7 linked regions of the Kluyveromyces lactis genome follow. Each later gene encodes a partner of the first gene's protein in a complex. Links are inferred from orthologs where the notes say so. Each region holds a gene or a part of one and is shown on either strand. Other genes may lie near its edges.

Region 1 (4,363 bases):
CAAAATCTTGTATATTAGTTCGAAATAGATCATATACCCATATTTATATTCTCTCATAGGAATATATACTTATCAAAAATAAAGTATAGAAGGACGTATGGGACTGAGGTTCTCTGTTATCATCCTTCTGCTGCAAGTCGAAGGCTGCATCTTGTTTTTCTTCACCGCTCAGTCTCGAGAATCCTTCTCCACGACCGGCGAGCACGACTTTTTTTTTTTTCTTTTACGCATTCGAGAGCAGCAAACAAATATAGAACTTGAAGCAGGTCTACTAATAGAAGCCTTGCATAAGGAGAAATAGGCGAGGGTAACGTCGTCAACTTCTCTATACATCCATCAAGGGACGCTAAGGCAGGACTTATAAGGTAGTGGGTGACGATACATAAGTTGCTAGTTGCTTGAGAAAGGGTGAAGTCGATTGCTACATCATTTTTTTTACCGAAAAACCGTTACAAGCGTAAAGCAGTTGTACCAAGGAAACTATTAAATTTCAAGATCTATAACAGGATCTCACTGGCCAGTTCACCTAAAGATGTTGTTCAACACTACCACTGACGGTACTGATTATTCATCTGTTGTTTCTTCGTCAGATACACTGACAGAAAGTTCGGAGTCGTTCTCACAAAGCGTTGCTAGTTTACGAACGGATTACATCAACCCTGACTCAGGAAATTCTACGCAGCAGCCACATGGTATGAAGACCAGGACGGTTCTGGTATATCCAAACAGATCACATTCGGATTCGGATTCACCTGGCATAGTATCGCCATCTACAGTTTGGGTACCGCCGTCAACAGATGATTCAACGTCGCATACAGATGTAGACACGGCAATGGTGACGGTACTTGAGATGAGCTCAGGACCGAGCAACATAGTAATGCAAACAATTTATCCCGAGAACACCGCGACCCAAGAATACACATCTGTTGAGGGTACAGAAGCTACTGCCACTGTGCCTACACCGACTTGGTTAACGTTGACCACTGAAGTACCGTCTTCTGAAACTGTGGTTTATTACACACGAGATTTCATCTTTACTGACACTTCAACCACCTTTACTAAAGGACTACCGACACTTACAGTGATACCCACAGAGGCTACTTTCACTACACCTACAGGTCCAGTTGTGACTGACACATCTTTTTACGAAAGATGGCTATCTGGCGCATTGGATTCCAACTCAACATCGTCTGGATCAAATAAAGATACAATAATCGGTGGTGTAATAGGAAGCGTGGGAGGTCTGGCGCTAATGATACTGGTGATCTATTTATTATTTAGGAAGAGACGAAGGAGAAATCTTATCGAACACGAAAAGAGCTTCTCCCACGACATTGGGAGAAAAATGGGATACGACGATATCGGAACGTTTATTGCACAGTCTCAGCAAACCACCAAGACTACAACCAGAGTATCGACGACTGCTCATAATAATAACAAAGTTTCAAAAAGTTTGCCCTCAGTGCCTCCATATGTTGCAGATTCTGTCAGGAGGCCACAGACGACAAATCCATTCGACGACGAATATGTTGTATCGATTGCAGATCCAGAGTCTCAGACGCCTTCCACAACATCACTACATTCATCCTTTGTGTCATCTTCCACCGATGAGGGTACACATGACACTGAAATGTCAGTTACTTACGATGAAAACCCACAGAACGCTCACGGATATTTAACGGAACTAATCGAACACTGATCTTACCAAACTCTAATTACAAAGTTTTCAAATTTGTACTTAAATTTTCCCTTCTATTCAATATACTTCTTTGTGCATCTTCAGTTATATAGTTCATATTTAAGGTTTAATTCCTAGCAATTCCACACTAACGCTTTTCTAATTTGTGATCTTACAACCCGTCAAGATAGTCGGACTTCAATATCTTCCTCCACACAGTAGAACCATTCCTTATATCTTCATGCCCGTTCACGATGATTTATATTTCCTAACCATCGAACAAAAAAATTTTGATAATCAAACATTGTACAGAAGAAGGATTGATCAAAGTAATAAAATGCCTACAGTATAATACTAGAGGCACGTGTAAATTACATGGTTAGTTGCAGGCTCTGTCATCAGTTCAACCTATATAAAATTTAATGCTATCGAGGACAGTAACTAGCCTGTTCGGCTTGGGAAAGGCTTCCGGTGTAAGAAGTTTTCAAGCTTCAGCATTGCAGCTACAAAAATCTGCACAAGGTTCGCTATTCGGTGAAGTCACCGATGGAGTGAATCCGTTGAAGGATGACGATCCAAATAAACTATCTAATAAGTTGACTACTGCTACCGAACTGTCAGATGATTTGGATGCTGCTACCCAGCTGGCAGAGGCTAAAAAGAAAGTTACAGCAGCCAATGATACACAATTACAGAAATATATCGAAGAACAAGACCCCATGATCAAAAGTTTACCAGAATTTTTGTTACCAAGAGTTAAGAAGGAATTCTATGAACAACAGGTTAGGTTGAACGGTGGGTTTTACGACAAAAGCGTGCGCCCTAAAGATCGTTCTTTGAGATTAACGAATGAAGAATTAGAAGTGCTTGAACCTAGTGTCTATGTTAAATCTTACAGAGTAAAATCATCTATGAAGAAGGCCACACAGCTGCTTAGACTTTTGAACGGATTGGACGCTAAGAAAGCTTTGACTCAATGTCATTTCTCCGATAAAAAGGTTGCCCGTGATGTTGCCGAATTATTGGAGCGCGGTATTAATGATGGTGTGAAGCTTGGCTTGGATGCCAATGACCTATACATCTCCCAGATATGGACCGGCAGTGATGGATTTTGGCAAAAACGTGTCGAATGGAAGGGTAGAGGTAGACGTGGTCTCATTGAACACCCATATGTGCATATCAAATGCATATTGAAGACCAAGAGTGTAACGAAGAGAAGACTAGAGCACGAAGCCAAACTAAAAGAACAAAGGAAGAAACCGTGGGTTCAATTAGCAGATAAACCCATCAGAGGTTCTATGGGTGGTGTTTACAAATGGTAATGAGATATTAAACATTATCATATTACGTTTATTTCCAATGATAATGGGTGAAGATAATATACAGCAATTAAATCATCAATAATAAGGTCCTTAGATTGTCTTTGGGTTTCATCTCAAGTTATCCATGTCGGAATAGCCAAGTATTTCATATCATTTATATAATATATAGAACAAGAGCTTGTAAATAGTGAAAGCAACGCGAAATACTTCACCGCATCAAACTGTAAGGAAACAAATTTCGTCTATTTCTTCTTCTTAGATTCCGTTTTAGCTGGTTCAGTAGTTTTCTCCGCCTTCTGTTGGTTAGCGGCAGATTCCTTCAATTGGTCTTTCCTCCATTGATCTAATCTTTGTTCATATTCCCAGGTACTGTACCACAAACCTCCTTGCAACACTAAGACACCAGCAAAGACAATTAAAATAATGATATTGGAAGAGGCAACAACAGCAATACCTTGCGCCTCAGAGACTTCACCCCAGTTATGGTAAACCGCAGATTCAACACCGGTCTTGATATTTGTTAAGAAAACACAGATACCCAAAACGTACAAAGCCAATGAACCGTATTCAAATAATTGCAAATCTGGATTTGGCTTGTATACCCTAATCAAGGAACCAATGACTCCCACAATGGCCACCGCACCAAGCATATAAAGGGTTGGCTTGGCCGTGTAGAATAGAGTCTGGTAGTGTTTCAAAGCGTTCTCAAAATGCTCCGGCGTGGCAGCAGGATTGAATAGGATATTATAGTCATATGGTTGATTAGAAAAGAAGATCCCCATCAAAAAAGTAGTTGATCCAATGATCAATGCTGTACCTACAGCACAAAAATCCTTATAAGTTAGGCCCATATTTACTTTCAGTCAATGTGTTTAGTGAGCGATACCTACGTTCTCTTAAAAATGGAACGTATAGACCCTACGTGTGGTATTAAATGGTTAACAATTCATCTATAATTGAGCCATTGGTTTTTTCAGTACGCACTATATATTCTCTTTTTTTTTAATAATTTACATGATTTTTGCCCACCGAATTTTTTTGATTAGTATGAAAGATAAAGGAACTGAAAGGCGGAAAGGCATTATCGGAAGGCGCTATCGATAAATCATTTTAAAAATCCATTGATAAAAGCAGGACGTTTTAATCGATGTCATCTGGGCATAGATTACTTATTTTTAAAAGAATTGATGAGTTTCTTAATATTTATACATATAAGAACGGTATTTAATAGACTAATTAATAATATAGAATCAAACAGATATCAATTGATTTAAGCAGATTCAGCAGCTTCAACTGGTTCAGTTGGTCTGTAATCCTTGACAGAAGGTTCCAAAACTGGTTCTTCTTCCTTTGGTTCGATGAT
Region 2 (4,130 bases), on another chromosome or scaffold:
AGAAAGATGTCAGCAATTTTGGCGCCATTGGCCAAAGCTATTGACTATGTTAATGCATTGAACAAAGACTTTTATATCCTTTCTGTTGAAGAACAAAAGGAATTAGGACTTTGGGGCAGAGTGACTGCTTATAATTGGACCTTTGAATTGGCTTGCATTGGTCTCATGGCTATCTTATTTTTCATTTCTTATTATGGTAAGACTCTGAACAATAAATATGCCGATAAGATATTTGGTACTTTGAACACATTCTTGTTAACAAAGTTATCTTTTACAAAGGTTGGTTTTAGTGCCGATGGCAAGAAGATGCCATATATTGAGGAGCAAAATAACACCTGGTTCACATCTTTTGCCACTGGTCGTTCTACTATTGAAAGCGTAATTGTTAAGGCACACTTGACGGCTCGTCACAACCCATTGGCATTGTTAACTCAAAAGGCATTAGCTTTGTTTTTACCAACATTAGTTGCCAACGACATTGAAGAATTCATCTCAGTTACCATTACTCCAAATGGCCAATTCGTCTCTACTGAAGATGCTAAGCTAACTGCCAACTCAGCGGAAACTTTGTCCAAATTGAAATTCATCACATCTATCGTTAACAAAGCAGTGATGACTAAAGCTCGTGACTCAAACTACTTTTTATCATTGACCCATACCGCTGAAAATGAATCTTTACCAGCAGACTATGTTTTCATGTCCGAATCAAATAAGTTGAACGGATTTATTCCTCACTATGCCGGTGAAGATTTCAAGGTGTTGCTATCTAAATCTGCCAAGTTCTTGAAGTTTATTTCTTTCACTGATTTACCAGAAGAGAAACCGATTACTGACAAATTATGGGAGTCTTCTCAATTGCCACGTTGTGTCATCTACTTATCCTTGGTAACTTCTGACAAAGATATCGAATTGTTGGAGGAATTGATAACCAAAGTTGTCGAAATTTATGACAATGTTACTAAGGATATTCAAACTAACTCATCCAATTCTTTCATCACCACTGATATTTTGAAGAAGGGTATTCAATTGCGTAAAGAAGAGTTAGGCAAGATTGTTAAAGTCATGCAACAGGTTGAAAGAGAAATGGCTCTTGAAAAAAAACAAGAAGCTGAGAGACAAAAGAGAAAGGATATGAGAGACAAGTTGACCGACCAAGAACTTGATAAAATGGAGTTGAAGAAAAGAGAAAAGAGAGAAAGACGTCTGAGAAACAAACAGAAAATGAGAATTTAGAAAGTTCATCACTATTGGGGTTGTTTCTCATTCTCGTCTCTTTATTTCCAAAGCAACAGTTAAAGCTGATCAAGAGAAATATGCTCGTCCAGGTGATGAGCGTTCCTGTAGTAATAACTCTCTTGTCAATCCCCATTTAGTATGAATCATCCAGATCTACTGTCCACGTTATTACTTCAACTGGTAGCGATTGGATGCAACGAACTTTCTTTATTGTTTTCGCAAGTTATTTTAATGTAATTTATGTACAAGTGTATGAATGTGCCTCTGAACCGCAATGGGGACGAGACGTCACGAACAACATCCATGATCATTATTATTTTGTAAGACATTGGTATCTCAAATGATCCGCGTAAGGAGGAAAAAAAAGATAAAACATTTACTATCATAAGTCTAATCCTGGAATCTTCACATTCTCGATAGTTATTTCTTCGTTTAATGCTGACTTAGGAGTTTCTGGTGTCTTATTTTCTTCCTTGGATACCTGCTTAGCCTTCTTTACGTTCTGTTCAGTCTTCTTCACCGTTGATTCGGTTGTTTTTAATAAAGCTGCTGCTGATGCACGTGATCTCTTAGCTGAGGTCAACAGGGCTTGGTCAATATCAGTTTCCTTTAGAATGTAGCGGGCTCCATTATAGTTGTGCAAGAAGTTTCTCATTAGTGAGGGCTTGACATTTACCACCTCGCCGGTATGAAATTGGAACTGAGGAAAATCTTTTAATAACTGTACCTGTACTCTCTTTGTACGTTTGGTTAAGGCAGAAAGACACGATGATGTCGGTCTGAACATTTTGCTGTAATATTTTAAAAGCCCTTGGAGCGTGTGCAGTTATTGGAATAGCACTTCAAACACAATTGACGCTATTTTTAATTCCCTGCTTATGGTTAACTTTTAGATTGATCTTGTTCTAATGTGATTTTAAACTATCAAAAATTTTTGAAGCTTTAAAATCATATCTAAGTGCCAGCCTAGTTAAAAGATGTGTACATAAAAAGAAGATAAAAGATTGGTTTAGCGAGTGACAGCCGTTCATACTGTACTACTCCGTGTTTGTAACCTTTGAAATACTTATTTATAAATGAACTGCGTAATGGATACAATCTAACCTAATACGATTCGCTATAAAGTATTGTATGGGTGTATGGGTGTATGGGTGCTTTCGTTGTTTCAACATCAGTTTTTCGAATTATTCAATCAACCTAAACAAAGCATTCACTAGCTTTTGGTACATTAACTTACATGCATCAACTTGTATAGATGAGACATATCATCTGCTTACCTCCTAGTAGAATAAACTAAGCTACCGCTAGATTGAGATTAAAGAAAAATCAAAATCAAATGTCTGCGGCACAGAGTGGAGCAACGGTTGAACATCAACAGGCACAAACTGTGCCAGTTGCACAACCAACTGACATGTATATCCAACCGTATTTGAAGAAATTAATACCAGAATTGGATGGGCTAAGTAAGTTACAAGAGGCTGAGAAGAGAATTGACATATATTTAAGTCGTAAAAAAATTGATTTGCATCAGAATATTACTCAATGGACTCATTCCAAATACACAGATCCTGCGAATAATCAGTTTGTTCGTGTTTTCATTTCTAATATTTCTGAGAACCAGCCATGGCAGACGAACGATGAGACCATGGAACTTGATCAAGCATCATGGACATTGCGTATTGAAGGTAGACTGTTAGATAATGGGAAGGCAGACGATCCAAATAGGCCTAAATTTTCCTCCTTTATAGAAAGCGTCGCGATAGATTTCAAACCTGTAGAGGAAGATCAAGATGATGAAACTGATCAAGAAATGGGAGACCCCTTATTAGAAGGGACACAGGAACCTAGTGCTAAAAAGCCAAAAAATGAGCAAACCGTTTTTGAATGGCATGTGGATCCTAATACTCCTGTAGAGTTTGACGGTGTTGATGTTTCACGTAAGGGTACTGAAAACGTTAACTGTACCATCACTATCCAACCAAAAGGGTATACAGGGGAGTTCTTACAGTATTCACCAGAACTATCATGTATTGTCGGATTCTCAAAAGGAACCTTTCATGAGGCGATATACTCTCTTTACAAATATATTCTATTAAACAGTCTATTGACGAATAACGACGAGGCGGGACCAAAGGATTCCACAAACGGTGAGAAAGTCTTAGTGAAAATGGATGCTTCATTAGCAAAGCTAGTGTCTCCAGAAAGGCTTGCCGCAGGCATTGTTTCTTTGAAGCTCGCCGATTTGCCAAGTCTAGTGAAAGATCATGTAAAACCGATACCTCCAATAAGACTTGACTATACTATTCGTGTAGATCAGTCTTCCACTTTCGGAGATTTGGTATTTGACATGGAAGTACCTAAATCAACGTCAGTTAAAGGCGACCAAAAGTTGTCAAAGGATGAATTATTGCTATTGAATGAATACAATACGCTATCAACTGCAATCGAACCACAAATACAAGAACTAAATCAGAAAACACAACTATTACAACTACAACTAAATTCAAGCGCAAAGAAATACCAATTTTTTGATAAACTAGCTAAGGATCCAGTTCCAATGCTACAAGATTACATGGAATCGTCATCGCAGGCTCTCAAAGTGTTATCAGGGGATGCTGGCTTCAATGAAGATACAGTGAGAAGATCACAATTCTACCAGGACAACGATTCAATTCTTTTTGAAAACATTGGAGTTCTACTTTCAAGCGGAAGAATGAAATAATTTCATTCAGTATTTTATCGCTTTCATCATAAATATATGTATACCGTATACAACGTATACCTTGGTAGTTCTTCGCAGAGCGGGCCCATACTTCGTGTATTCAACAACCGTATAGAAAACATTTGTACTATGAAATCGTCTAAAATGATTAAAATCGTTCAGAAAATATTGA
Region 3 (4,403 bases), on another chromosome or scaffold:
TTTTGCAGTGATTGTAATTCATTCTTTAAGGTTTTGTTGTTTTCCTTCAATGCGTTAATTATGCTCTCGTCAGTAGAGAGAGTTTCCTGAAGTTTCGCTATTTGAGAATTTAGCTCCGATTCGACCTCTTTATAAAGTGCTTCTAGTTCTTCATCTGCCAATTGAGTTTGTTTCAACTTGAGTAACTCTGACTTAAGACAATCAAGCTCCGTACTTAATTGATGGTTTTCTGTAGTAAGAGATTCAATGATGTTATTAGAATTACTATTCGCACTGAAGTGCTGTTTCAATTCATCTAATGTTTTTGTTGTTTCAAATAGTTTACTCTCTAAGGCTGATATTGTTCGCAAATATGTCTCTGCCTGGGTTTGCAGTTCTTCATTACTATTTTTCAAACCGTTGCATTGTTTCTGTATTTCTGTTAGGTCTGATTGCAGCTTTTGTAGTGCAACCGTTAATAATCTGTTTTGCTTGATAAGGGCATCTGATTCTACTGATTCTATCTGATCAGTGTTGACATCAACGTCTGCTTTTCTTCTTATTAAAATTTCTTCTTTATAATCATTAAGCTCCTTCAAAGCACTTTCATGAGCAATGGTCAAGCTTTCTAATTCAAATATCAGTGAATCATTGCGTTGCTCTGCCTCATCTCGTCCTAAAGTTAATTTCTCCAATTGTTCCTCGAGAAATTGCACTTTTTCAAGCTCTTTTGATCTCAATCCCAGCTCCTTTTCAAACGAAATACATTTGTCATTAACTGACTTGAGTTTAACTTCCAATCTTCCAATGATCTTTTTCAATCGTTCGGGATCTGATGAGTTAGAATTCGTAGTATCAGGATCCTGAAATTGTTGCGAGTTCGGTGCAGAATTTTTATAGATACCCTCTCTTCTACTGAATATACCATACATCCGACCTTTTCTACCCTCACTGAGTTCAAAGTACCTGACTCCCTTGACGCTACCATCGTTCTTCCCTAAGGGTTCATCTAACTCAACACCGATCCAAATCCCCGCTGCAAACTGCGTCTCGCCTATAAACCGTACAGTTCCTGCCAGGCTGCGTAGCACTACCCTATCTCCTAATTCCAGATCCATTGTTTCATTTTAGAACTAAAGAGTAGTTGATCTGGCAGTACTGTAAGGTATTCATCAGTTATTGCCTTCATTTCTTTCAGGATATGTGTTTATGTTCCTTAAACTCAATATTGTCAAAATAATCATAAACATGAAATCTTTAAACATATTTTAAAGAAGTTTCACGAAGTTTACGCGTGCAGCAAAAGAGGTAAATTAAGAGGTTCGATTGACTTACAGCCAAGACTCACAACGGCAAGAAATCTAACCCAATTCGGATCATAGAAACATGAATAACAGAAGGCCCAGTGGACGAGTAGCGAAATCCGTGGATAAATCCACTTTACAAAAGGAATTATTAGAAGAACAGAAACAAGAAATATACGAGGCGTTCTCACTCTTTGATATGAACAATGATGGATATCTCGACTATCATGAATTCAAAGTCGCTCTAAGGGCATTGGGTTTTGAACTCAGTAAAGGAGACATATTAGAACTTATCGATAGGTATGATGCAGACGGACGCCGGTTAATACAATACGAGGATTTTTACCTGGTAGTAGGAGAAAAAATATTGCAAAGAGACCCATTGGATGAAATTAAACGTGCCTTCAGGCTATTCGACGATGATAACACGGGCAAGATCTCATTGAAGAATTTGAAACGTGTAGCTCACGAACTAGGTGAAAACCTTACAGACGAAGAACTACGTGCCATGATTGATGAGTTTGATCTTGACGATGACGGAGAGATCAATGAAGAAGAGTTCATTGCTATATGCACTGACAATTAGTGCTTCACGACCATTTCCATTGCCACAGCTGGAGCCCTGTGCCGCATGTATATCTCACCTTGTATATCCTATGTAACATCAAGCTATAATACTAAATCAAATGCGAAGAATCTGATAGTCTAATTCGGATCACGTGCTTTCATTTTTCCCTTCCAAAAAAATTTGTCGATGAAAAACTTGAAGGAACGGAATCAAGAAAGACATATGTATCAATATGGTACTATGGAATGAACCACAAATGGTTTATGTTCTGTGAAAAGGACGGTGGTATTCGATACTAGAATAAAATAGATCAGCGGGTATGTCTTCATATAAACATTTATCGAAGGCTGGTGCCCGTTTTTTGGAGCAAGTTCAAGCGAAGAACTCTAATATTGCGAAACAATTTGCCAAGTATGAAGGTTTGACGATGCCAGAGTTCTTGAAACCATCGTTGCCTCGTGTCGAAGAATCCGAGAAGTATAAGAGTGTAAAGCAATGGAAATATATGCCAGGTGATAGAGTGGTGATAGTAAATGGAAAGTTTAAGGGCAATGTTTGTGCCATTACGCAGCACGACGTGCATACAAACGGGTATATTTTGGATGAGAATGGACCCACCAACACTGTTCCTGTGCCCAAGCAATTTTGGCAACAGGGGCAGAACAGTCATATGGTGAGTTTCCCTGTCCCCGTGAGCCAAGCGGACATCAAACTAGTCGCTGATCTCGATGATCCAGAGACTCCAGGTGTGGCTAAGACTGTTGCTGTTCGTGACATCGAATTCAAGGGTTCGTATTATGATTCAGATTACAAGAAAATTATGCCATATAGGGTTGTTGTTGGTGAGAACAATATGGTTGTTCCATGGCCTAAGCCGGAGTTCAAGCCAGATGGTGCATTGGCTACGCGTTCTGAAATTGCACGTCAACAAACTTTCTGGGTTGAAAGCGTAGTAAAAAATCCTGTTCCAGAAGCAGCATTGTCAACCATCCGTAACCCTAAGTCGAAATACAGAAGAGGTACCTTGACAACGAAGGAAATATCAAGATTGGTGGCTCCAAAAATGCCTCTAACGGAAGCAAAGAAAAGATACATCGAACAAAGAAAAGAATTGGCAGCATTGCCAAAACGTAAATTGACTGATGAAGATCAAGAATTGATTGGTGACAAGGTCTACCAACACTTCAAGAAATCTTTCGAATTACAATAAGAATAAATAATAGTTTTGGCTAGCACTTAACTGCCATTCGTATCCACGCTACTTGTACATAGATCATAATATCATACTTCATCGCACTTTTATCTGACTTTTTTTTTTACTACATGTTTATTTTGAATGGAAATCTATACGTAAAGGTCATTACTTGTAGTAACAGACCTCAACAATTTATGATTATAGTAATGACTAAATGATTAGATAACTGTTACTAGTTCATAACAAATGGATGAGTGCGGTCCAATATATGTTATAGAATGGAAGGAAAGTCCAGGCGATCAATGGACTATCTCAGATAAATCGGGGTTTACGACTCATTTATTCAAATTAAATGAAGACGCCAACAAAGATATTGTGTACTGTAAACATTGCCGAAAGCAGTTCATCGGCAAGAACAGAGATTTAATTGGTTTCCATATGAACAAAATCCATCCACAAATCACAACTGGAATGACTTATAATCAGTATCTGCAGATTTTCAAACCCACTTATGTACCAAACGCCCATGGTGACGAGAAAAACAGGGAGAACTCGTTCAGCATAGGTCTCAGACCGTACGTTTTGTGTCCAGAACGATTGCCTGAAGTACTCTACTTTGACGACATAGCGACCATTATACATGATAAGTTCCCTAAATCTGAAGAACATTTTTTAGTTTTGCCAAGAAGTCATAAGATCAGCAATTCTCATCCCACCACAATCGACAATGGCATCAAGGTGCAGCTTCAATGGCATATTGATTGGGCTAAACGATTCTGTTGGACTCAATTCATAAAAAAATATGACATAAAAGATATATCCTTGAAAGAGAAAGAAGCTTTCTTGGCGAATTTTGTCCAATCAGGAGTACATAGCACTCCATCAATGGCTAATACACATATACATGTCATGACAAGAGATTTCCATAGTAAGAAATTAAAGCACAAAAAGCATTTCAACTCTTTCAACTCCCCGTTCTTTATACCATGGGATGAACTACCTGTGTTGGACTTGCCTGGTGACAAGGAGCTATCCGAAAGGTATATCAAGAACTTTGAGATGATATGCCCCTATTGTTCCACTAACTTCAAGAATCGGTTTGCAAAGCTTAAGGAGCATCTAGCAGATGAGTTTAATATGCGTTTCGTGTCAAAAAAAGGTTTAATAACTGCAGATAGGGCTATTTCATCGTTTAATAGATTTACTAATGATTCATAATTACGGCAACAATTTTAGCGCTTATACTATAGTGGTTGGTTTTTAATCTTAAAATTATGAATCTACTTGAGATGCCTAAACAAGTGTGTATATTCATTACAACTTTTGATATTCAAGCTTGCCTTCGAGCTTCTTGACT
Region 4 (4,663 bases), on another chromosome or scaffold:
AATCTTGAATCAAACACAACCATTTAATTTTGTTTGAACAATTGTTAGATGTTTTAACTTTGGTTTTTAGTTGAACAAACGACTGAGCATCTATTCAACGTTTTGTGTACCTCCCATTTTTAAGAATTGATTTTACGGTTGGTGAAAGTGGATAAGCAGTTGTTATTGGTGTTATTATAGTTACTCTTAGTTGTTTCAACCAGTTTCGTTTGGGTACTGCGGGATAAGATCACAGTTTCAATATAAACAAACTCTCTGGCACACTTCCTTCAAAGCAATTATCTAATTGTTTTCGAAACGGTCCTTTGGAATCGATATTTGTCAGAACCATCATCAACATTCTCTTCCATCGTGAATTGTACGTCGGGTACGTTATTTGACAATTGCAATAGAAAATAAACTGCTCAACGCATATTCCTATAATGTCAAGATTACGTTCTGTTCTTCTATTAGCTGTGCTTCCGTTAATATCTGCACAGTATTCCTATCAAGGTTGTTATAGTGAAAGTGATATAAGTAGTTCGCTGTCCAGTGCAGGTGAATACGAATACCAAAGTGTCTCATACTGTCAGGAACAATGTAATGGGAAAAGTGTTGCTGCGTTAATTGATGGTAACACATGCTATTGCGGTGATGCATCTTCCATTAGTGCTTCAACTGTTTCTGACTCAAACTGTCAAGTTAATTGCGTCGGTTATCCATATGAAAAATGTGGTGGTGAAGGGTACTTTGCTGTCTATTCAACAGAGGATATCGACTCAGATGAAAGTTCCAGTTCCAGTTCGAGCACGAGTTCAAGTTCAAGCTCAAGCTCAAGTTCCAGGTCGACTTCAAGTTCAAGTTCAAGTTCAAGTTCAAGTTCAACTTCTTCCAGTACCTCATCCAGTGCAACCTCAACAGATTCTTCAAGCACTGCCGCTACAACGTCATCTTCTGATACTTCAGGCACTTCTTCTAGCACTGATAGTACGCTTTCATCTTTGTCTAGCTCCATCGCCTCTACTACCAGTCATTCAAAAGTTGTAACAACACAGGTTTCAGTCATTACTTTAAATGGTGAGAGTAGGAGTATTGTTGCCGTTACAACTACAAGTACCGTCGTGGCAACCACAGCCGAAGGTACCAACACTGCAAACTCTAAAACGGAGTCAAATAAATCTTCATCATTGTCTAATGGTGCTATCGCTGGTATTGTTGTGGGTGTTGTTTTGGGTGTGTTACTGATCGCAGCAATTATCATTTTCTTCATCTGGCAACAGCGAAAGAAAAGTAAACGGTCAGACTTCGAGGAAAGTAAGCATTACCAACCTTATTCGTTTGGTCAAGAAGAAGACATCGTAGTCCCACCAGTTACCGGAGGTGGATTTGGCGCTGCTGCTACTTTACCAAACTCTCATTCAGCATCATCATCCTCTGATAGATCTGGTGTAAGTCAAAATAGGGAGAAAAGATTGGATAATAATGGAAACGAAATCAGTGATTCGCAAATCGTTAGTCCGTTTGGAGAAACTATGGATCAACCAGACCTAACACAACCTCCTGTACGTCCGACAATGGGAAATCCTAGATTCAGCAATGGTTCTTTACCAGATGTAACTCAACAAAGGCGACCGCTAAGAATCGCCAATCCAGATGAGCTGGATGATGAGGATACAGAATTCAATTCGATCATCGAAAATCTCAGGGGAGATTGATCCTGATACAATATAACATCATCTTTTTAACACATTTCGCTAAGATAATAGCATGATATACCCAATATCATCCCCTTGTTGTTGTCAAACAAAACAAACGCCAAAAGGAAATATTCCAAATATAAAACATCAACTAAGGCCCACAATAAGCCATGTTCCATACTCACTACTGATACTTGATACCCCTAATGAAAACTATCAACTGAGGATCAGTTAATTGTCTAACACTATAAACAAGACAAGTCACAAAATATATCGAAACGATTTATGTTATACTGATAAGTTGGGCTTTCACATATGTACATATATAACGTTATAATACTCATTTAATTTCTTCACATTTTACTTCAAGGTATCTTTATAATGGTTAATTGTCATGTTTACTGTCGGGAATTATTGTGCTACATTTTCATCTAGGGTAATTGTTTAAGGGATCCAAAAAAATGCTTCCAACCAGAGTCGAACTGATGATCTCCACATTACTAGTGTGGCGCCTTACCAACTTGGCCATAGAAGCTGTTTCTTGTCATAAAAAGAATTTACCACTATATACTCCTACGAGATTATTGCCTGCTACCAATTCTTTTCTGGTGGACCTAACCTATTTTGAACTGAGGAATACGCAGTTTATAATGTTACAGCTACATTTTTGAAAAACGTGATGCTAAAATAATAGTAGGTTTACTGAAATAGTTTCGGCTGTTTCAATTTGTCAATCTGCTAGGCGCATCTAAACACTTACATCAGCATTGCATACCCTCTTATCGTCTCCAAGCTCCCTCTGTGTCCTAGCGAATCTCAGCATTTTAAAAGGTTACCCGAATACCTAATTTCGAAAATTTTTTAGAATGAATATGGTTAACTTACAAGAAATTACTGGAGATGATTTGGATATTCAATGAATCTACTGGATATCTACTATTATCGATATTTAATAGCCCTATCTCGAGGTCTCACAATACTAGCACGATGTTTTCGATCAACAAAGTGGTGAATCCCTTTGGATCACTTATACAGAGATCATTTGTACGCCAAATCACGATCCTTGGTGGTTTAAAACCTGGTGAAGGCTCTAAGAAGAACTACAAAAGATTGGGTAGAGGTCCATCCAGTGGCAAAGGTAAGACTGCTGGTAGAGGTCAAAAGGGTCAAAAGGCCCGTGGTTATGTAAAATCATGGTTTGAAGGTGGTCAAACCCCAATCTTCAAATTGTTCCCAAAGCTAGGGTTCACCAACGTAACATCACTAAAATTGAAAGAATTAAACCTTGATAGAATAACGTGGTTCCACCAAAAGGGTCGCCTACATTTGGAGCCAGGTGAAACCTTGACGATGAAAAAGATGAAAGAAATCGGTTTGGTTACCGGCCCGATCAAAGATGGTATTAAGATTCTAGGTGATGGTAAATTCTCTTATAATCTTCCAATCAAGATTGAAGCTACTAGAGCTTCACAGGATGCAATTGAGGCAATCGAACATGCAGGCGGAAGTTTCACTGCTCGTTATTTCAACCGTCTTGGTCTAAGAGCCCATTTATCACCACATTGGTTCCTAGAAAAGTACGGAAGAGTTCCTCTACAAGCTAGACCCACAAAGAGGAAGGATATTGAATATTACTGTAACGAAGAAAAGAGAGGTTATTTGATTATGGAAAATGACCCATACTATCAACTTTTGCAGAAATCCAAAGATGAAGGCGGTAAAAATTTGGTTGCTCGGAAGACCAAGAAGTCCAAGCTTGAGTTGCAATTAGAGCAACTTGAGAACGATTTTGCTCCTGCTTCTCCAAATTCTGAAATTAAATCAAACTGAACATCATATAGCAATATAGAAATGCCCTGTATATAATACACATCATTCAACGCCATTTCTCCAGATTTATACACCATATCAATCAAATTGATATCTGTATTCACAAGTTGTAGCAACTTTTGTCTATTTAATGCTCTAAAGTCTAAAAATATAAGAATGAGCTTGTCTCACTTTTACACATCGTTTTGTGGAGTAGAAGACTCTGTGTTTTTGTTGTCCAACAATCTTTCTTCGAGAACCTGTAGGGCTAACTTTTTCCTTCTTTCTTCCGCTTCAGAGCCTTCAACAGGCTTAGCACCCCTCTTTTGAGCCAAAATGTTAGCTTGTTCGATATCGTATACTCTAAACGGAGTTGCAATACGCCAATCAACAATAAACTTCTGGTAAAGGTAATCAAATATTGGCTCAAGTACTGGTTTGACTAAATCCGGGAAGAAATATATCAATTGGAATGTCTCAGAGGCATCTCCTACCACTTCAAATTCAGCATCCTCAGCCATCGAAGCAGGTAGCCTCTGATAGAATCTCAAGTAGAAATAACAGGTGAAAAAAGTGATCCAAATTGATAATAACTGAGAGAAGTGGTGGAACCACAGAAGTTGCACAAACGAAAGCACAAGTAGAGTAAATATTGGCAGGAGTTTAAATCTGAAATTCTTGGAAATGAAAGGTAGATTCTTAGTCTCGAAAATGGTAGTTTCTGGGAATAACTGTTTGTAGATAATAGGGAACCCCACCAAAATTGTATAATTACCATCCAATGGTAAATCCAACCTTATTGCTGACGAAAACATTGATAAAATTATTGTAATTAGAACGACAATTAAGTTCGTAATGGTACCCAAGATTAGAACAAATTTGGCCAATTCTCTAGGGCTTTGCCAGAACCTTTCAATGAATGAACCACCTATAAGCAAATTAAAGAAGTTTAGCAAAAACTTCCATGGTTCTATGTCGACTAAATTGGAAAATACCAATGAAAGTGGGTTATAGAAAACCCTATTTGGCACCATTTGGACAAATGGAACGATAACCAATCTTGGATCCATATCATTGGAAAGTGCCTCCTTGATGTACCGAGTTCTGACAATTGATAAAGCAATAGTCCAAGCAACGTATGTGAAGGTCAACCAGCCAGTTGCTGGTGGAATTCCACC
Region 5 (3,746 bases), on another chromosome or scaffold:
GGGTTCTTGACGACGAATACTCTAGGAATCTCACCGAATGGGAAGAGTAATTCTCTTTTAAGCACTTCTTCATCTGCAAGTTCGTTAACCTGGGTCAATCTAATAGTCTTTGCATCATCACGTTCTCTTTGGTCTTGGTAAGCATTAGAAGATGGATCACGAGCACCAGCACGTAGGGATGGTGGCACGTATCTGCCAGAGCCAGAGCCTCCTTGAGCGCTCATATCTCCACCACCGATAGCCGGGTCTAAACCAGCAGATGTAGTAGGTTTCTTTCCCAAAGTGTCTTTGTACGGACAATGCATGGTGAAATGCGCACCACCACAAATTCTACAAGTAATTACCTTTTGAGTCGAGTTAGCAGCCTTCTCCTTTGCCTTTTCTTCTTCCATTTCCTTCCAGTTAGGAGACAAGTCTAACTCTAATTCTTCACCTAATTGAGTGGTTGAAATATCTGGTCCTGGGGCAGCTCCCTTATCAGCACCATATTTCTTCCAATTTCTTCTCAAGGCGATGTTCTTGTTAACTTTCTCGGTGACAGTAATTTCCTTAACCTTCTGCGTAACCTTGTACTTCTTACCATCTTGGATTTTGAAACTGATGACGGTTTTGGAACCATCGTCATTCTCGATGATTCTTGGTTCAGGAATAGCTGACATGTTGTGAATCTTTGTATTATCTCCTTAAAAAAATAGGATTGTAGAAAAAATTCCTTTAATTTCTAGACGCGTGTTATACTATCAACAATTAAGAAGCCCAATTCTGATTTGAGGTATGTCAAATATCCTCCTTTCAAGTTATGGGTCTGTAGATAATCTGATCGATATCAATTAATTCTCTTTGAAGAAAAAAACTTCGCACAGATGATAGTCTCAAATTTTTGTTTCAGTTCTTTATTGAAACACGTAAATCGGATACACTTGGCGCAGTATACTCCTTTCTTCTATCAAACAGCTGGATGAAACCCTATGCACCTTCTAGGGTCACCTTACCATTACGTTTATTTTAGCAGGTAACTTAGAACTCATTTGAATTTCCATTTTTTTCTCTTCTCTTTCGCTGATTTTGCCTCTGTCTCTATGCGATGAGCTTTGGAAAATTTTCAAAATTTTCATCAGTAATGTATATCGTGTTGCACGGGTGTAACAGAGATCCGTAAGCTCCAGCACTAATTAGTTACCTTAATTATACCGTACTGTGTACACCAATCAATTCAGTTAATACCTTCTTGTTGATAAAAGCGTAGAGTAACTATATGCGAATACTTAACTTGACTTGTGAATATGTATCTGTTTCACGTGATATGAAGTACGGATCATTTTTATGTATATTGCATATTCATCAAAACGTATGTAGTGATTTGACAAAATTTTGATTATCCATTACTTCTTCTTTAGCAATGTATCCGACCCAATCAATACTGAAAGTAGTGGGAGTTCATCAATTTCTGCATAGGACGGTGTATCATCGGAAAGTATTAAGGGCAGAAAGTAATATTATCCTGCGTACTTCTCTGTCTCAAATTCAAATTCAAGGAATTTCACAGAGCTAAGGATATCATATATAAACTGCAAACGAACAGGAAAACGATGGCCAAGGCTAAGACAAAGACTACAGTTATCAAACTGATATCAACTGCTATGACAGGTGTGAGCCGTCATGTCACGATAAATAGAGCTGCACCATTAGTGACGCAGGTGAGGTACGACCCTGTAGCTAAACGTCATGTTTTGTTCAAAGAGGCCAAGAAAAGAAAGGTTGCAGAGAGGAAACCATTGGACTTCTTACGTACCGCAAGACGTTAATGAATTGTATTTAACAATTTAACCACACCATTTGCATGTATATAGAAAACACTCACACTGCAATAACTACCGTTGAAATAGACGTGATTTAAGAGTTCTATAGTAGTATCGGTTTGTAGTAAAGAAACGAAATTTTTAACTAAATTACATTTACTTAATTCACTTATTTAATTGGTTTCTGAGACTAATTTGGGCAAGACTATATATACAACATCCACATCGCGTGGAGTAATTTGGAGATAATAAGATGAACAATTGATAGGTTTGTAAATTATCGTGAGGCAATAACTTGTATGATTATTTCTAATTATTTCCACCCCACGTACTTCCACCACCTCTAGCATCCTGATTACCCCAAGCAGATCTATTGCCGCTATTGTTGTGTTGGGATGCATTGCCCCATGCGGATCTCTCTCCTGAGTTATGCTGCGATTGATTGTTACCCCAAGTGGAACTTCCACCGGTGTTTTTAGATCGTTGTGATTTATTACCACTGCCACCCCAGGCAGAGACACCTCCCTGGTTACCACCCCAGGTAGAAGTACCTCCATAGCTTGATTTATTGCCACCGCCCCAGGCAGAAGCTGCTCCTGATTCTCCGCTTGCTGCCCAAGAAGAGGCGCCTCCATAACTAGATTTATTACCCCAAGTGGACGCACCACCCCAAGTTGATGTAGCACCTTGCCCACCCCAGGTGGAAGTGTTTCCAGCAGCTCCACCCCAGGCAGAAGCACCACCAGGGCCTTGTCCGCCCCATGTCGAAGCACCACCCCAGGATGAAGTTCCTCCGTTCTGGCCAACCGCAGGAGTTTTACCGCCATCAAATGCATTCCAACCAGGAGTCATTCCACCAGGAAGTTGTTGCGGAGTGTTCGTTGCCACCGCACCACCGGCAGCCATGTGTCTTGGTGCACTGACATAGCTTGGGCCCAATCTGGTATGTGGAGTTCTACCACGTCTACTAACAAGTTCATCGTATGTTATACCTTCACCACCTTCATGACTGAAGTAAGTAAGTTTTCTTTTGTCTATTGTAATATGCTTATTTTTGGAGTGCAATTCAATAGTAGCCTTATCTCCATTGACGTCTTTGACAATACCCAACTGCCCCTTGTATCCCGCAGAACGTATCCTAACAGTTTTGTTCAAAGCGACGTCACGGCCAACTAACCGCGTCTGCTGAGTAGTTTGTGGTGGTCCCATCTTAGACGCAATATTTGGATTTATTTTAGATAAATCCAATGCTGACGACATCAAGTTTTCTTTTGAGGCGACAGCCTCGACATTCATTGGATTAACAACGAAAACACCGGCATTTTCCGTTATTGTTTTCGATCTAATGAAAATATGTTGGTTTTGAACGTAGAGTACTTGTCCCTCTCTACGGGAACCGATCTTTTCTCTTACTACATCGCCAATTTTTATTTCTCTACCATTACCATCGACAGCAGCTACTTTCGCTCTTGCTACATTGATCTTGGCAAGAATTGAGCCTTTAGTAACAGTAGCCACTTTACCGGAGTCGTCAATAATCTTGAAAATATCATGTCCAGCCTGGATCACACATGCCACGTTTTTGGCACTTAACTCAACAATGTCATGTAGAGCGTACTCGCTTGATGTCGGAGTAGAATCCATAGATTTACTCAAGTTATTCGCAGAGATTGTCAAATTTTCTCTAGTTTGGTCAGAAACAAATGTGACTTGACCGTTCTGCACCAAAAGAACCAAACCAGCGTTACCTTCATGTTCACCAGCTATTACTGTGACATGGTCACCAAGTTCGAAAATTTTTCTTAGAGATGCAATTGGGAACTCTAATGATTTATCTGAAAAGCCCGATAGTTTAACGCTGATGACGTCTTTAGAACTTCTAGTCACCACACCTCTAGATCCACGTTGTTCCCCGGTCAACACTTCAACACGGTCACCTGGTTGAAA
Region 6 (4,133 bases), on another chromosome or scaffold:
CTACACTAATTTATTCGCATACATCTGCTCAGTACAAAAATGGGAGGACAACAGCACCGTCCAATTTCTTAGACTTTAATTACCAGTTGGTTATACGTGATGTAGTATTATAGTTAACTAATGGGGTTTATAAATCCTAAAAAGAGAATGTGATATATAAAAAAGAGATTAAGAGACGTTTGACAAGTAGAAATAGAGAGACATTACCAATTATCAATAAGATATATGGAAATGAAGCGACATTTTACTAGGGCAGGATTCAAACCAGTGAAGAACACAAAAAAAATAATTGGCACAGCTCTTGCGTACCGGTAAAACGCTACATTTTTTTGAAATAAAGACGCCGTTTCTTCTAGAAGTCTTCCCGGCTCTTTTTTCCACCTATTAACGCAGCATTGTTGTTGATGTCTGAGACATGTGTGCAGAAGTTCTAGCGTTGGCGTTCTCCTTCAAAGCAATCAATTGCTTGGATCTGAAACTTTCGTAGTGGATCAAAGCTGTAGTCTCAATCAAATCTTGCAAGTGTGTCCTGATCAAAAATTCTCTTAAATATACGAACTCACATTGGTTGATGTCTTCGACATTGATGGCACCCCAACGAGTTTTTCTTCCTCTTACTAGTTCACCGTTCACTGTAATCTCCTTTTCAGATCCTACAACGGCAAATGGAATAATAGATCTTATACTTTTATTCAGTTCCACTTCTTCATCGGTCAGATCGTCTAAATCATATGGATAGATTCTGAAATTGTACTTTTTAAATTCTTCTTGTAAGATGTTTCTGAAGTTAGCTCTCTCATTCAACGTCAAAGTATCAGCTTTAGCGATCACCGGGATAACATTAGCGATTTCTGTCAATCTCTTCAAAGCAGCAACGTCAAGTTCTGTTAGACCCTTACCGTTAGGTTGGATGAAATATAACACTGCATGTACTCGAGTGTCTACAATGTGTCTTTCACGTTGAGCAGTCAACTCTTTACGTAAATATTGAGAGTGTTGCTCCTTGATGTACTTGACAATAGGTTCCCAAACTTTGTCGTTATTTATCTGGTCACCAAAACCTGGAGTGTCAATCACGTTCACGTTCAAACGTACACGGTCTTCCAATAAAGAATGTGTTGAAACCTTGATCTCGGTGGTCTTACTAATTGGTTCCTGAGTGATGTCCTTACCAGTAGAAGAATCAACCAAGTGAGATGCAAACAAAGTGTTGATCAAAGTACTCTTACCCAGACCAGAATGTCCAACGACCATAACGTTGAATTGAAATCCTCTCTTCAACAAACGATGTTCAATCTGTGAAGTAATCGAATCAAACCCAACATAAGAAGATGGATTTACCAAAGCCAACCCATCAGAAGAAGAAGTCATACCAGCTGCAGCAGTACTAGATGCCATTGTTTTTGTTTATGCGTGTATTTTACCTTTAATAATTCCTTTCGCGTAGTAGAGATGTATATAAGTCAAATCCAAATGATCAAAGCTTTACGTGTTTTAGTGTTTGGAAGTTAAAATAATGAAAAACCTCTAAGTTATAAAAACAATTAACCGCAATAACAAAAATTCAAACAATGAGTAGCAATTAACCACAGAAACGTCAAAAAAAAGTAATCACAATCTTACTTATTCTAAAGAATACAAGATCTGATTCCTTACTTATATTTTGTTGACACACTTATTTCGTTTCGAGTTCCATTTTTAGTTTTTGTGATTTTTCGTCTTTTTCATCGAAATCGAAAAAGGGACACAGATCATCACCAAATCAGGGTAATGTTGAAAATTCTTTCTTATAATCCAATTCGTCAATACCAATTTGAATTGACGAAGTTCAAACAGAGTTAGACGAGCGACCTAGAGAAACTAGTATCTGTCCCTATCGATTGAACTTATCCTTTCTCCTCTTCATCATAGTATCATACCAGCAGCGAAAATAATTAGAGGATGTCTTTTGGAGCTGTAACGGAATCTTTTAGCAGAGTGTTGCTGGAAACAGCGACATCAATATTGCCTCGTTGGAGCACTCCAGCAGCTGGTACTGCATTGCCACAGAAACTGCTGGAATTGCTTGAAAGAAACCAACGTGAAAAGTCTTCACCTCAAGCGGATTACTTTACGAATAACGGGATCCTTCTAGCTGTGCCCAAGAAGAAAGTGTCGCATCAGAAGAAGAGACAAAAGTTATATGCGCCTGGAGACAAACAGCTGAAAATGATCAACCATTTGAACAAATGCCCTTCATGTGGGCATTACAAGAAGGCACATACGCTATGTATGCATTGTGTGGGTGAAATCCGTCACATCTGGAAGGCTCACACTAACGTTGAACAAGTGGAGCCTATTCAAGAACAAGAGTTGTCTGAATTGGACAAGCGTATCTTGTATCCTGGTAGAAAAGAAACTGAATACACAAAGAAACTGAAGGACAAGGATGCTTATTTGGAGAGACGTATGAAAACTCTGCCAGTGGAGAGATCTGAGAAGAAAGAAGGATCACATTAAACCCTCTTCTCATTGAATCCAGTACAAAATAACACATCGGCGGAAATGACTAAAAAAAAACAACCTTTTATCAAGTTCAATCCCCCCATCACCTTGTATATATATGTCGAATACACGTCCCAGATTTTAGCAGGTTATTTCAGTGTCAGCATTCACCTCCTGTAGTAATAGTTAGATTCATTATCTCATCACAATCAACTCTACATAGAATCAAATCACATACAAAAATTTTCCTAGAGCAGGCTTGATGCCAGGCCTAAAGGCGTGAAAATCAGTCGAGAAAAGATCAGATTGAAAAGAAAAAAATCATGAGTGAAAAGATTTGAAGTAGCGATGAGATGAGATGAGGTGCGAATACACGATACAGGATTAAGCAGGACCTGAAAACTGGCATCAGTTTAACAGTTTGGTCTGATATTGGTTGTTTTGTTTTGTTTCACTTTAAATTGACAATAAGGCTGACAATTTTCCATACAGTATGACAACGACACGACAGTTCAAGAAAGTGAAAAAGGTGCCAAATTACAGGATTCCTGTATTTACCAGCATCCCAACGCATCCGTTAGGGGTAAAACCTAGCGGGAATTCTTTATTAGAGGGTGCAGATCCTCAGGAAACTAGAAAGCTTAGGAAAAAGCTGTTAGGCTCTCTGTCAGTGCTACCAGAAGATCTTATAATCGAAATACTCGCATATATCGATGATCCAAATGACTTGCAGAACCTCGGATGTAGTTCTAGGATCCTTTACGCGTACACCTACGATGAGGAACTATGGAGAAAGATTTATACCAAGGAGTACTTGAAGTTGGAATCGGAAAGTCCAGAGCAAGAGCGTATTTCGCCGTTTGGATGTTCAAGGTGGAGGGGCTCGTGGAGAAAGACCATCTTGAAAGTAGACCAAGAAGCATTGATACAGTGTCATAATATTCTGTTCTCTGACACCTTATATAGACCATATCAATGTTCTCAGATCGATTATACAGAGCTTTTCAAAAAAGTGATTGAATTCGAAACGAGTTCGTATGAGTTAGGTACATGTCTGAACACAGAGTTTGGAGTACCTAGAATGCAAGAGACAGAATTTGATGTGGCAACTTTCCATGAAGAGTTTATCAATAAGCCTTTCATTCTTCAAAACAAAGATGGTATTACCTCGGAGGGGAAACCAAGATGGCCAAGATGGACGTTGGACGATTTAGTCGAGAGATATCCCCATGAAATATTCCGCCAAGAAGCAGTGAAATGGGACCTCTCATTATATTCCTACTATTTCAGAGAAAATAGAGATGAGTCGCCTTTGTACCTTTTCGATTGTAATAGCACTGCCTTAAAGCTGATGAGTAAAGAGTATGCTCCACCTTCCATCTACCATAACGATTTCTTCAAATTGTTCCAAGAAAAAGGAATCAAATGTCGACCTGATCACAGATGGCTAATTGCCGGTCCAGCAAGAAGCGGATCCACTTTCCATAAGGATCCGAATCACACTTCTGCATGGAATACAGGCTTGAGCGGCATGAAACTATGGGTAATGTTACCACCTGGAGAAAACCCACCCGGTGTGATGACAGATAAAGAAGAAGAAGAAGTTACATCGCCTGTCGGTATAGCAGAGTGGATTATCTCGGGATATT
Region 7 (4,050 bases), on another chromosome or scaffold:
TCCTCAGGCTCTTCAACCACACCATGTCCAAAAATCGAAGTAAACAGGGAGGATTCCGAAGAACTGGTCTTATGTTGTCGCCTGAAAATACCGGTATAAGCTGTATGAGAGGGACTAACAGATGATGGTGTTGTCGGTGATTTATTAGTATTTTCTGTCGTAGATAGAGGTCTTGGGGGTATAGTTATCTTGATATCATTCTTAGATGCGTTATCCTTCGTAGATGATGCATTTCGTAAGCTGATCAAGCTTCGTCTATATAATGCACTTGCGCTATTGGTCTTTGCCTGCCTCAAGGGTAAACTGTAATTGCTTGCTTCTTGCTTTTTTGATGTGGTAGGTTCACTAGAAGAACTGTCTTTCGTAATATTCTCAATATTCAACAGCGCCGATTCTGATGTACTTCTTATATGGGTAGAAAAAGATGTCGATAACCTTTGGCTGACCTTAGCAGACTCACTCGACGACCTTGAATTATTGATAATCCGATTACCATTCCTGTTGTTTCCCTTCACCACGTTTTCTTCCAGCGTTTTCTTCAATAAGTACTGAAACCTTTCGTAACTTGAACTCTTGGACTGTTGTAAGGACTTCTCGTATGGTGCAAAATTATCGTAAGCTAGAAGTTTCAAGAACTTATTCCCGCTTATACTATTCCTCTTGAAAAATGTAATCCACTGATCGTTGAAATCGTTAGCTCTGAACCACTGTATTATCCTGGGCATCGTCCACTGGCTCGGATCAGTGACATCCCAATTGAATAATAGTCGCTCAGATGTTAACGAATTGGTGCTCCCACCAGAGGACTTCCTGGATCCCTTGCTGCTGGAATCAAAACTATAATCGTTCTTCAAACCACTGGTCACCTTGTGATCCAATGACGATGGATAAAACTCACTGATATTGGCAGGATCAACATGTTTGTTGAGTATAGATGAGGCAGATCCTGACCTTGAATGTCCAGCAGTGCTACTCTTCTTCTTCAAGAAAGACATATCATCCACGGTTCATCTATATTTAGCGGGACTTTACTTATCAGATACTAAAGTATCGATACCCAGTAATTGTTGCACTAAGCTCTTCTCTTATCGTCTTTCTCCCCTCTTTATTAACGATTAAAATGGTATTAATTACAATTGTTTCTATTTGAATTTATATCTATTCTCTAAAACGGTAAACGTTTCTAACAAATTCGATGAGATGCTGCCACTAAAACATAGTTACTAGATGGTATAGTATTTCTAATCGATCTATAACGACCTAACATTATATTAAACTTTTATTTACACGATTTTGTAGGAGGGTTAGTTCATTAATTGACTTTTAGCTCGGATATTCTCAGAATAGTCAAATCGGCTTTATTGACCGCATGACGCACTTTCCTGTTTCTTCTCTTGGTAACTTCTCTCACTCTAAGCGGGCGTTTTGTCTTCTCAAGAACTGTAGCCTTAATAGTGTATAGAGATGGATCAATAGGTTCGTCCACGAGCTTGAAGTTACGAGAACCAATGGTAGTCACATCAGTCAAATTTAGCACATCGCCGACCTCTGCTTGCTTCAGTTTAAACGGTAAGATAACCTTATCTCCTTCTGTCACCAAGTATGGTCTGTTGTGTATTCTGAATACGGCATATAGCTCATTGGATAACTTCAACGGCGTTAAATTCACCTTCGCTTTTTCTGCTACCGAGTGTGTTGTTCTGATGAAACTTCTCTTCAAAGGTTGAAGAAATGGGCTGAAACCCACCATTTGCCTTACTGGGAGGGCAAACATATGACTGATATTCTTGAACATCGTTTCTGCACTGATTCGAACGACAATTGGCAGATGCAATAGCCCTTTCAATCTGCTTCTTCTCACTTGTCTTAAATGTTGTTCAACTAGTCGTATACTGTTTCAACAGAAAATTTTTTGAGCCTTCGAGAGTTAAGTGTTGATGTCAGTCACGTGACGTGACGTGAAAAGTAGGGCACACACACAGTCATGAGAAGGAAGAGCCAACGGCCACGCCAAGGGACAGCGTCGTTTCATTTGTGCATTCATTCGGGTATGTTACAAATGTTACAGAACTTTTATACATGAGTCAAACTATTCTTTTAATCCTGTGACAATTCATGCAGATTTGCGTTTATCACCGTTCAAGGATCTCATGACCTTCCTTCTTTGGGCAACCATGTGTGAGAATAGCACCGGGAACCCTGGAATGTAGGCTAGCATACCTGCAATTAAGAAATACTTGTACAAGATATTGTATTTTGCTTCAGCCAACGGCAATGCAGAATAAATTATGAACAATTCGCTGCCGACGCCCAATGGATATAGCACGTAAAACATGTTATATCTCAATACAACAAGTACAGTAGGCGCTTGAGCCACCAAGTTGAAGAAGTAGAACATGTACCTCACTATTTCAGCAATACACCATGCCGACAACAACGTGATGTAATATATTTTATGCGCATTTTCTGCTTCCGGCACATACTGGAAGATACCGATGACTACCAAGAGTCGAGAGGCCACTTGAGCAGCAGTGGTCACTAGCGGAGCACGGACTATTCCAAACAAAGAATTTGTGACTTCAATTATAGCACCGCATTGAACGTACGTGACTAAATCCTTGGTAGCAATAAAGAAACTTGGTTGACCGATCTTTGGGTAAAGGGTCACGACTTGATATAGGACATAAGCCCAGGCAGAAGCAGAAAGTAGGTTGTAAAGAGGAAGGAAGGAGAAGATAGAAGCCTTAGATGATGCCATTGGGTGTGAAAGTGTATTGGTGGGCTCTTTGGACTTCGGGGTTCAATTTATTAAGATCCAGTTCGGTTCTAAACAGACCAGTTTTTGTCAATAACAAGAATTCATGGTTTCAGATTCATAAAATTAAGTGATGCATTGAGACGAAAAGGAAGAGAAATCCAACAATACCCAAATTAACAAATTGCAGTATGTATTGATGACATGAGAATTAAGATTTGAATTAGTGTTACTCGTATGTTATTATTACTATTACTATTATTAATATTATTACTACTTGAACTAACGATAAACAGAGGAAAAGTAAATGTTTATTATATATCAATTTGTGTTGATAAGGATTCGTGTTTGGGGATAAGGCTGCATTGTTAATCTGTATCATGTGAGCTTGATCTTTGCAAAGCAGGCATTCCCATTGCTCTACTACTCTGCTCAGCGAGATCGTAAGGGATCTTATCATTACTGGAAGTACGACGCAGGGAGTATTCATTCGAACGATGAGAAATGCCGCTATGTGTTCCAACATCAGTATCAGCATCGAAATCATCTTCGTCGTCGTCCTCATCATCGTCGTTTACATCAAGATCGTTGAGTTCTTCGTCTGGTGCATCGTAGGGCATACCACCCGGTGATAACATGCTGGAGTATAAAGGATGGTTTGGTTTTGCATAAGATTGCCCATCGTCGTTAGGATCTAAATAATCTTCTTCATCGTCAGGTGACAGATCAAATTGGTGGGAATGGAACATGGAGCTGTTGAAGAAGGTTTTATTGGGGACTTGCGGTTGGAATGTGTTGGATGATTCACCATTCCAAATATCTTCCTCTTCGTCTCCTTCGTCTTCTTCCTCGGCATTGTCAGCCATGTTTAAGCCGGATTTAATCTGATTTGACATGTAGTTGCTAAACTTATTCAAATCTCCACCGTACGACGAGTCATGCTCATCGTTGTTGTCTAGTCGTACTTGGATTTTTGTCTTATTACCCATGTTGTCTTCATAAACGAAACAGTTGTCGGCACCTAATTCATTCGGATTTTCATCCTCATCGGCATCGTCATACTCCAGGGACCCGTTCACATTCACAAACCTTTTCTCGTTTTCATTTATAGCATCATCGTCTTCGTAAATCTCGTCATCGCCCTCGTCGTTTTCACCTTCGTCGAAACCGTCATCTCCGAGTAAAGAGCTATATTTTTCTCTTGTTTCGGTGAGAATTGTATCGCAGTACTCTTTCCATTTAGGTTCATTGAGTCCTTCTTGCACTACAGGTGATGCGAAAGTCACATTGGCTTC

What was found.
Region 2: MRPL22 (region 1) and MRPL50 share a complex: the UniProt entries of both Saccharomyces cerevisiae proteins name them as parts of the mitochondrial large ribosomal subunit. The link is inferred for Kluyveromyces lactis from reciprocal best matches to the Saccharomyces cerevisiae genes MRPL22 and MRPL50.
Region 3: MRPL22 (region 1) and MRPL40 share a complex: the UniProt entries of both Saccharomyces cerevisiae proteins name them as parts of the mitochondrial large ribosomal subunit. The link is inferred for Kluyveromyces lactis from reciprocal best matches to the Saccharomyces cerevisiae genes MRPL22 and MRPL40.
Region 4: MRPL22 (region 1) and MRPL10 share a complex: the UniProt entries of both Saccharomyces cerevisiae proteins name them as parts of the mitochondrial large ribosomal subunit. The link is inferred for Kluyveromyces lactis from reciprocal best matches to the Saccharomyces cerevisiae genes MRPL22 and MRPL10.
Region 5: MRPL22 (region 1) and MRPL39 share a complex: the UniProt entries of both Saccharomyces cerevisiae proteins name them as parts of the mitochondrial large ribosomal subunit. The link is inferred for Kluyveromyces lactis from reciprocal best matches to the Saccharomyces cerevisiae genes MRPL22 and MRPL39.
Region 6: MRPL22 (region 1) and MRPL32 share a complex: the UniProt entries of both Saccharomyces cerevisiae proteins name them as parts of the mitochondrial large ribosomal subunit. The link is inferred for Kluyveromyces lactis from reciprocal best matches to the Saccharomyces cerevisiae genes MRPL22 and MRPL32.
Region 7: MRPL22 (region 1) and MRPL49 share a complex: the UniProt entries of both Saccharomyces cerevisiae proteins name them as parts of the mitochondrial large ribosomal subunit. The link is inferred for Kluyveromyces lactis from reciprocal best matches to the Saccharomyces cerevisiae genes MRPL22 and MRPL49.

The regions. Positions count from the first base shown.
Region 1 is NC_006040.1:701,355-705,717, forward strand, and holds MRPL22 (mitochondrial 54S ribosomal protein uL22m), read left to right. Parts: upstream 1-2,100; coding exon 2,101-3,000; downstream 3,001-4,363. Other genes in the region: TDA7 (Tda7p), read left to right, coding at 533-1,699; SHR3 (Shr3p), read right to left, coding at 3,243-3,851; RPS3 (40S ribosomal protein uS3), read right to left, coding at 4,271-4,363. UniProt on the Saccharomyces cerevisiae protein: Component of the mitochondrial ribosome (mitoribosome), a dedicated translation machinery responsible for the synthesis of mitochondrial genome-encoded proteins, including at least some of the essential transmembrane subunits of the mitochondrial respiratory chain.
Region 2 is NC_006039.1:790,972-795,101, reverse strand, and holds MRPL50 (mitochondrial 54S ribosomal protein bL9m MRPL50), read right to left. Parts: upstream 2,024-4,130; coding exon 1,619-2,023; downstream 1-1,618. Other genes in the region: KLLA0_C09086g (uncharacterized protein), read left to right, coding at 7-1,233; RSC6 (Rsc6p), read left to right, coding at 2,573-3,958. UniProt on the Saccharomyces cerevisiae protein: Component of the mitochondrial ribosome (mitoribosome), a dedicated translation machinery responsible for the synthesis of mitochondrial genome-encoded proteins, including at least some of the essential transmembrane subunits of the mitochondrial respiratory chain.
Region 3 is NC_006039.1:834,323-838,725, reverse strand, and holds MRPL40 (mitochondrial 54S ribosomal protein uL24m), read left to right. Parts: upstream 1-2,170; coding exon 2,171-3,061; downstream 3,062-4,403. Other genes in the region: NIP100 (Nip100p), read right to left, coding at 1-1,097; CDC31 (centrin), read left to right, coding at 1,366-1,869; HNT3 (DNA 5'-adenosine monophosphate hydrolase), read left to right, coding at 3,293-4,264; proteasome regulatory particle base subunit RPT4, read right to left, coding at 4,361-4,403. UniProt on the Saccharomyces cerevisiae protein: Component of the mitochondrial ribosome (mitoribosome), a dedicated translation machinery responsible for the synthesis of mitochondrial genome-encoded proteins, including at least some of the essential transmembrane subunits of the mitochondrial respiratory chain.
Region 4 is NC_006039.1:1,032,788-1,037,450, reverse strand, and holds MRPL10 (mitochondrial 54S ribosomal protein uL15m), read left to right. Parts: upstream 1-2,576; coding exon 2,577-3,506; downstream 3,507-4,663. Other genes in the region: WSC2 (Wsc2p), read left to right, coding at 423-1,694; KLLA0_C12111g (uncharacterized protein), read right to left, coding at 3,680-4,663. UniProt on the Saccharomyces cerevisiae protein: Component of the mitochondrial ribosome (mitoribosome), a dedicated translation machinery responsible for the synthesis of mitochondrial genome-encoded proteins, including at least some of the essential transmembrane subunits of the mitochondrial respiratory chain.
Region 5 is NC_006038.1:66,134-69,879, forward strand, and holds MRPL39 (mitochondrial 54S ribosomal protein bL33m), read left to right. Parts: upstream 1-1,589; coding exon 1,590-1,805; downstream 1,806-3,746. Other genes in the region: TIF35 (translation initiation factor eIF3 core subunit g), read right to left, coding at 1-659; transcription elongation factor SPT5, read right to left, coding at 2,109-3,746. UniProt on the Saccharomyces cerevisiae protein: Component of the mitochondrial ribosome (mitoribosome), a dedicated translation machinery responsible for the synthesis of mitochondrial genome-encoded proteins, including at least some of the essential transmembrane subunits of the mitochondrial respiratory chain.
Region 6 is NC_006042.1:1,181,496-1,185,628, reverse strand, and holds MRPL32 (mitochondrial 54S ribosomal protein bL32m), read left to right. Parts: upstream 1-1,941; coding exon 1,942-2,499; downstream 2,500-4,133. Other genes in the region: septin CDC10, read right to left, coding at 385-1,398; KLLA0_F12804g (uncharacterized protein), read left to right, coding at 2,978-4,133. UniProt on the Saccharomyces cerevisiae protein: Component of the mitochondrial ribosome (mitoribosome), a dedicated translation machinery responsible for the synthesis of mitochondrial genome-encoded proteins, including at least some of the essential transmembrane subunits of the mitochondrial respiratory chain.
Region 7 is NC_006042.1:1,308,066-1,312,115, reverse strand, and holds MRPL49 (mitochondrial 54S ribosomal protein bL21m), read right to left. Parts: upstream 1,796-4,050; coding exon 1,313-1,795; downstream 1-1,312. Other genes in the region: mitogen-activated protein kinase kinase kinase BCK1, read right to left, coding at 1-995; enoyl-CoA hydratase PHS1, read right to left, coding at 2,114-2,758; SAP185 (Sap185p), read right to left, coding at 3,124-4,050. UniProt on the Saccharomyces cerevisiae protein: Component of the mitochondrial ribosome (mitoribosome), a dedicated translation machinery responsible for the synthesis of mitochondrial genome-encoded proteins, including at least some of the essential transmembrane subunits of the mitochondrial respiratory chain.